2 linked regions of the Kluyveromyces lactis genome follow. Each later gene encodes a partner of the first gene's protein in a complex. Links are inferred from orthologs where the notes say so. Each region holds a gene or a part of one and is shown on either strand. Other genes may lie near its edges.

The links. Proteins that work in one complex are often made in the same cells at the same time.
Region 2: the proteins of SGF73 (region 1) and UBP8 are in contact, whole or in part, in a crystal structure (PDB 3MHH), measured with the Saccharomyces cerevisiae proteins. The link is inferred for Kluyveromyces lactis from reciprocal best matches to the Saccharomyces cerevisiae genes SGF73 and UBP8. Residues at the interface, in NP_011449.1 of Saccharomyces cerevisiae: Gly24, Ser25, Gly26, Pro27, Ser28, Asp30, Ser31, Trp32, Lys33, Leu35, Met36, Ser38, Ala39, Lys40, Thr42, Pro43, Leu44, Gln45, Asp47, His48, Met49, Asn50, Ser53, Leu54, Lys55, Lys56, Tyr57, Phe58, Asn59, Asn61; in NP_013950.1 of Saccharomyces cerevisiae: Thr23, Ala26, Ala27, Tyr29, Ile30, Asn32, His33, Ser34, Val35, Pro36, Glu38, Lys39, Asn42, Thr43, Gly47, Thr48, His50, Met59, Cys60, Leu61, Gln62, Cys63, Gly64, Phe65, Cys66, Asp107, Asn110, Asp111, Leu114, Tyr117.

Annotation. Positions count from the first base shown.
Region 1 is NC_006038.1:214,243-217,527, reverse strand, and holds SGF73 (deubiquitination module subunit SGF73), read left to right. Parts: upstream 1-1,309; coding exon 1,310-2,785; downstream 2,786-3,285. Other genes in the region: PGC1 (phosphatidylglycerol phospholipase), read left to right, coding at 1-734; ALG2 (GDP-Man:Man(1)GlcNAc(2)-PP-dolichol alpha-1,3-mannosyltransferase), read right to left, coding at 2,902-3,285. UniProt on the Saccharomyces cerevisiae protein: Component of the transcription coactivator SAGA complex. SAGA acts as a general cofactor required for essentially all RNA polymerase II transcription. At the promoters, SAGA is required for transcription pre-initiation complex (PIC) recruitment.
Region 2 is NC_006039.1:603,184-607,150, reverse strand, and holds UBP8 (ubiquitin-specific protease UBP8), read left to right. Parts: upstream 1-1,466; coding exon 1,467-2,807; downstream 2,808-3,967. Other genes in the region: KLLA0_C06996g (alpha/beta hydrolase), read right to left, coding at 65-721; PLP2 (Plp2p), read right to left, coding at 2,969-3,826. UniProt on the Saccharomyces cerevisiae protein: Histone deubiquitinating enzyme component of the transcription coactivator SAGA complex. SAGA acts as a general cofactor required for essentially all RNA polymerase II transcription.

The DNA.
Region 1 (3,285 bases):
TGAAGAGTAAGATAAATCCAGAAATCAGGATAACGACATTCAAGGACGCCTTACAATGGTTAAAAGAACACCCTACAATGAAATTTATGTTGGATATCAAGCCTACAAATGATAAGGTTCTTTTAATCAAGGCGATTCTTGAAATGAGAGCAGTAGTCGATGATTTAGATTTCTGGAGGCAACGTTTGATGTTCGGATTGTGGCAACTTGATTGGTACAAATACGGGGTCACCACGGCCACACTGAAGGGTTTCAAGATCGTGGCCATCTTACCCTTCACAGCGATGGCTACTAAATTTGTCGAATACTCTAAATCCTTGAGCGATGACAACTACAAGTTGCATGGTGTCAGTCTTCATTTCATTAACTCTTGGAAACCCGATTTCAAGAAAACTGTATTACCATACTTGCAAGAAAACAACCTTGCCGTATACCTTTGGACCGTCAATTCCGAAATTGACATCAAATATATCAGTAGTATGACCATTACCGGGATTATCGTTGATGATCCGGTAGCTTCAGTGTCAATTCGAGATGAGTACATTCGGAAAGCAGTGCCGTTTGTACCGCCAATTTTCAATAGCTCTGAAGGTTTTAGACTATACCTTAGACTTCGGGTATTCGAAGTGGCTGAAAGGATCCTTAGCTCAAGATGGGCCACTGTCCCAGTATTCCATGATATCACCTTGTTGAAAGTAACCGTTTTATTGTTAAGAAGAATCCACTTCATTTAAATGTCATTTCATTTCGTAGACAATCTATATAACACACATACCATAGGAAGTTAATATCCTGAAATATGTTATATTTAGCTTGCAATTCGATTATCGACGGACCAATTGGTGTGTGGGGGATTGACACATTCCATTAAGTCATATCACGTGATTGTAAGAACTTTCAAGTTTCCCTTTCTGAAAGTCGACGATTTCGACAGGAATAACATACCGATGGACAGAAACATTTCATAAGATAATACATGAATTCAGATGCTTGAAAGTATTTAGAGCGGGTGATCCAAAGATTTTAAAAGGCTTTTGAGATAGTTCTAACGTGTTATTTACCTGCCACAAAAGTTACTTTTGTACAATCAATATTGAGGGCTCACTTCATACCAGATTCTTTTTTTTTAACGTGCTATTTTTACCATAGTTAGGCACCAATTTGCATTACCACCGATAGACTCTGGTTTATTTTTGAAAGCTAGGTAAGGACAGTTTGATCATTGTTAGCTTGTCTCAATTCATTCATCATTTCCATCGTAATTCTCCCTATCATTTTTTTTTTACCTGGCTGATTTTGGTACAAGAGCATGTCAAGTGTCAATATAGAGATTAAAGGAATCAGATCAGACATTCAATTAGAAGATTTAGGAAGTAGCAAGAACGGTTGGAAGGAGTTACTGTCTATTGTTAAGAATAACGGGAATAGTTCGGATTTATCATCCACGGATATTCGTTCAAAATACTTGAGCAGGCCGTCAGAAGTTTTATCTGGCGTTTCTAAAGAGGATATCCGTTATAGGAATTGTACAGCTTGCCACCAGCCGGTATTGGTGTCAGCTATTATAGATCATTTAGAGAATCACTGTATTGATAAAATGCCTGTGAAAAAGAATGAGACGCAGGATATCATGTCTTCTCCTGCTAAAAGTAAGGGGAGTAATAAGAGATCCTCGTCGATAGATCCTGAGAATTTCGATTCACCTTCAAAGAAACAGAAATCATCCACTCCTTCTGGATCGACTAGAAAACAAAGGAAGATAAAACAGCGAAACCCGACAGAGCCACATCTGGTTAACTTCGATAAACAGTGTGGTGTACCATTACCTGAAGGTGGTGTTTGCGGTAGATCATTAACATGTAAATCGCACTCAATGGGAGCGAAACGTGCAGTGGAGGGACGGTCACAGCCATTTGACATATTATTAGCTGATTATCAGAAACGCAACCAGTTGAAATCTTCGGCGTCCAAGACTAGAATCCAAAAGGCACAGCAAAATCAGCAGGATCCACAAGTTAAACAAAAGGGGAAAGATAAAAACACTGGGAAAACCAGCAGCAATGAAGTGGTCAATGAGTCATTACCCAAATTGTCCCCTGAAGAAGAGACTACTCTGGTTTTGAACGGTGTTTCACGTTCATACCCACTACCGTTAGAAACTACGGTATTGACTTCTACACGATCAAGAACCAAGTACGTCAGAATGAGAGAAATGTTTGGGTCTGCTTTCAGTATAAAACCAGGCTTTAAGAGCCCTGGAGTTGGTGCGTTCCGCTCAAGGGTCGGTCTTATTGACATTGATAGAACGACTGATTATACGTTCCGTATACGTACGCCTCAACCTATTAACGCATCACCTCAAAACTTGACACCAGAACAGCTTCAAATATTACAGGCCCAACGTTTGAAACAACAACAGCAGCAGCAGCAGCAACAACAGCAACAACAACAGCGGCAACGACAATCTAGTGCTACCGGATCGTTATCTCAAATGCAAATGCAAATTCCACAGTCAGTTCAGGCTGGAAAACCTGCAGGGCAACAACCCATGATGACCCAGGGCATCACCCCTCGGGATATTCAAACTCAACAGCTAATAATGCAACAACAGCAACAGAAACTCCTGCAGAAGAAAAGAATGGAAGACGCCAGTGCTCAACTAGATACGGCTTCTAAGTTGATGCAGCAAACAATAGGCTCACCGGTTAATACTCAAAGTCGAAGCAATTCAAATCAACCTGGTGTTCAATTTGGTGTAAATGGATATGGAGGAAGAGTTAATTAGTGTAATATTTAGAAACTTAATAGCTTGTTAACGTCTGTTTTTCATCTCTTAACTTTGAGGGGTATGTGTATATATTTTGCACAAGTCGTTATAATAAATTAAGATTGGCTTCGCTTTTAAGTTGAATAGTTTAGGTAACAGAAAACGATGATCCAGTACACAGTGGCCTTTACACTTCTTAATACAAAATAAGAAATCGCAGCTAGCAATAAATATGGCCAAGAAGCATCGCCTGTTATCAACAGTGTAGCATATTGGACAGTGAACATCAGTAGCCCTGGAGCTAATGTGCTCCATAAACGCGTTCCTCTTGACTTCCAAATAATATGGTCGATGGTATTATCAAAGTTTTTGGACATCGCTTCTCTGGAGAAATAGTACTTAATACGTTTAGGACCGTTAACTTCGAATAAGGAGTGATTCTTTTCAAATATGTCTACGGATTGATCCAACACTTTTGACCATTCATCAGCATCGGATGGTCGTAACCAACCAGTTGC
Region 2 (3,967 bases), on another chromosome or scaffold:
CAATGGAGACGTTAGAATCTATCATCATTTTATCATGCAAATGAAGCTGGTGGAAACTATTTTTCTATTCAGAGTTTTGTAACCAGTCAGCGATCTTCAATACAAAACCCTTCGAATTAGGCACAAAATGACCACCAGAATGTTCTAAAAACGTACTCGTTCCTTCTTTACATGAGGTATACAATCCTTTCACCTGGGATGATTCCGTAACGGTATCTAACTGACCTTGAACATGCAATGACCTTACAGTGATAGGATGTTGGATGTACTGCTCTTGATAAATCTCAGGTCTGAACCTAAATCCGGAGAATGCAATGAAAAATTTAATAGCAGGCTGTTGTTCCTCCGTGAGGCCTAAAAGGTTATTGAAATCCGTCATCAAATATCCAGTGACACCTGCACCTTGACTAAACCCACAGATACCATCAAATGGTCCATTTTCGACAACGTACTCTTTCAAGAATTTCAAAGTCACGTCGGGCAATCTGTACTCCCCATGCAACGGATCCGGTTGAAGCCACGCGTGATAGTCATCCCCAGAAGCAGCGCCGATATCTGCAACATCGCTAGGAAGATCTGCTGGTGATAAATTAATTGGTGCTGTAGGGTAGAAGAACTCATATCCAAGTGGTTCTAAGACCCGACGAAAACCTTTCGTTTTCGATTCAAAATAAGGACCAGACTGGGCAAGCCCATGCAACATCAATACTTTCTTAGACATTTTTTAAAAACCCTAGAACTGTTTATCTACCTCACAGCCTGAAGCGGTGTTAAATCCAAATCCACTAATAATAGAAACCGGACATAAATACCTACCCATATACTACTCCCCTTCAGAATACTGGAACAGAATTGGAAAACGTTGATGAACTTTTTTTTTTTTTAAATTTTCCTTGCGATGAGCTCCCTCTCCCTCTCTCTCTTTCTCTGCGAATCGGATTATCTCCTAGAAATCTTCGTACGCAGCTGGTTTTTCCAGGTACCTCTCGAGAGAAAGAGTACAAAATGACTACATAAGGATGACTACGGGATACATGCTAATTTTGATACTCATAAAAAATAAAACTAATAATATATAAGAGATCCTGTAGACACCTCCACTCATTTGCCTGTATGGTTACAAACACCCCGGCTGATAGTAGTCTGTATATGACCACACTGAGCTCCCACAAGTATATACTATCTACCGTTTACTTATGTATCATTTCTTCCTTTTATTTTTCGCTTTTTCATTTTTTTGCTTGATTCTGGATCAAGTTTTTTCTGTTTAACTTTTCATTATATGAAATTCGCACTCTAACAGATGATGATCTAGTAATCAGATTCAGTTACAATTTTTGGGGAAACGGAGCAAAGTCTTTGTGCCTTAGTCATCCTCTAGCTCGAGCAGGGAACTTCAGCTAGATATTTTTCTGAAATTTCTCAGTGCTCGTGCGTGTGCTTGGCCAAAATTTTTTTTATTAGTTATGGTTTGTCCGCATATGAATCAAGTGGTTTCTAACCAAAAGCTTGGTGACGCAGTGTTGAAAGAATGCGAAACGGTACGATATCTGCTTCGCCACGCAGACTTCAAGAATAGAACTATGAGAACCATGAGATGTATGGATTGTGGTGAAATTAGCTGTGGATCGACTTTCATTTGCTTGCAATGCGGATTTTGCGGGTGCTGGAATAACAACCATTTCTTGGATCATTCTCAAAAATTGGGACACATCTTTGGGGTTAATTCATCAAATGGTCTAGTGTTCTGTTTCAGATGTGGTGATTTCATGGCTGATCTGGTCGCTGAAATTCCGGCTAGCCAATGGGATACTGTAATGGAAAAGACCGAGCTACCAGCTAGCTTACACAGAGATGGATTACAAGGTTTGGTGAACATGGGATCCACCTGTTTCATGAGTAGTATCATTCAAACCATCATACATAATCCATACTTTGTCGAGGACCTGTTATCTCATAAGCATTGCAACAATTGTGACATTAAATCAGGAACCAAGTGCGTCTCTTGTGCATTGGATGAAATTGCTTGTGACTTTTACGGGAATGGACCTGGGACAGGGAAGTCTTCCTCCGTTAGCAAAGGCTTTGTAAACCTTTTATCTGCATCATGGCATATCAATCATCATCTTGTTGGCTCGTCACAACAGGATGCACATGAGTACTGGCAGTTCTTATTGAACCAACTGCATACGGATCATGCACGAGTATTCGGATCGTCAAAGGCCCCTGATTGTCAATGTATCACGCATCGAATCTTCCAAGGATATCTTAAAAACACTTTACAGTGTTCTCAGTGTGGATTCTCAAAGACCACAATAGATCCAATCATGGACCTTTCCTTAGAGATCAAAAATAACCCTAAATTAGAAGATTGCTTAGATCACTTCCAAAGAGAGGAAACATTAACCGATTTTCACTACGAATGCCAAAGCTGTAAACAGAACCAGGGTGTGGTGAAACAGTTAACGTTGCATAAGGCTCCTAACGTATTAGTTATACAGTTGAAAAGATTCGAACATCAACTCAACGGTCAAAGCGCAAAATTAAATGATAGAGTACAGTTTCCATTGCATTTAAATCTAAAACCCCATTTATTCCAGATTGAAGATGAATATATTCCTAATATTGCATATGATCTACTAAATGTAGTCTCCCATCAGGGGACGGTTGATCAAGGTCATTATACCACGGTGAGTAAAACTGAAGATGGACAATGGTTTAAATTCAATGATTCTGTTGTCACTTCAGTAACGGAAGAGCAAGTATTGGAACAACAAGCATATCTACTTTTCTACATTATTCGTTGAATATGTTAAAAGAAGAAAAACTCCTAAATTGGTTTACTAGGTGGCTTCCGTATATATATGTCAGAAAAGAAACCCAAATAACATCACACCAATCGACGTGTTATTATTGCCTTTATATCTTTTTTTTCAATATACAGACCCATATATATATAGTATTCTATCTAATCGAAGAAATCATCATCATCATCATCATCTGCACCGTTGCGGCCATTTCTACCAACACCAACATTAAATTTGCCTTTGATACCTGATCTTATACTGTTATGACCGTATCTCTGTTTCTTTTCTTGTTTAGTATAATCATCTTCGTGGTTCATTAGCAATCTACCATCTTTCTCGTCTACTGCACCAATATCAACCATAAGTCTTTCAAAATCTTCCAATTTAGTATCTTTTCCACCAAGTTCGAGTAGTGTAACCAAATGTTTTACGACATCACCTTTGTAATAAACAATCAAAGTCGGACAGTTGTTATCTGGATAATTCTCTATTGCTCTATTACCAGGAATTTCCACGAATTTGATTTGGGGGAATTTGGCTGCTGCTTTCTCAAAGATACTAGATAATAACCTACTTTCAAGTTTGGCTTGACAAGTTAAATGAACAAACACATAAACCCCTCCTTCAAACTCTGAAGAACCATCATCAACATATTGTGATTTTTTAGTGCCTTTACTGCATTCTGTGATCTCTCTGTTGTAATCAGGTTTGCTGATTGGATATACTGAACCAAATTTTGCCTTTTCCTGTAATTTCTTGATCTCATTGAGACGTTTCTGTTTATAAAATTGTAGAAATTCCTCATCTTCTTCATCTTCCAAATCCTCCAAATCTGATAGATCCTTGCCGTCTAGTCTATTTTCATGTTGCTTTGCCAATGCTTCTTCTAACGCTTCTTCTAGCTGCGCAGTTGGTGATGGTGGTCTTTCTGGAATTACACCGTGAGCTCTTAAGATATCGTTCCACTCGGTATCTTCTGTCTCATCGACTTGCACTTGAAACATAGGCTCATTTTGCATTATGGTTAGATTGTGGTGCTGCAGAAGCTGTCAAGTAATCTTATGTGTAGGTTTATTCTCACCGGTTGGCTCAGTTTAGTATGAAATACTGATGCCTTCATGCTATTATAAATTTAAAACTTAAAAAAAAAAAATAGACAC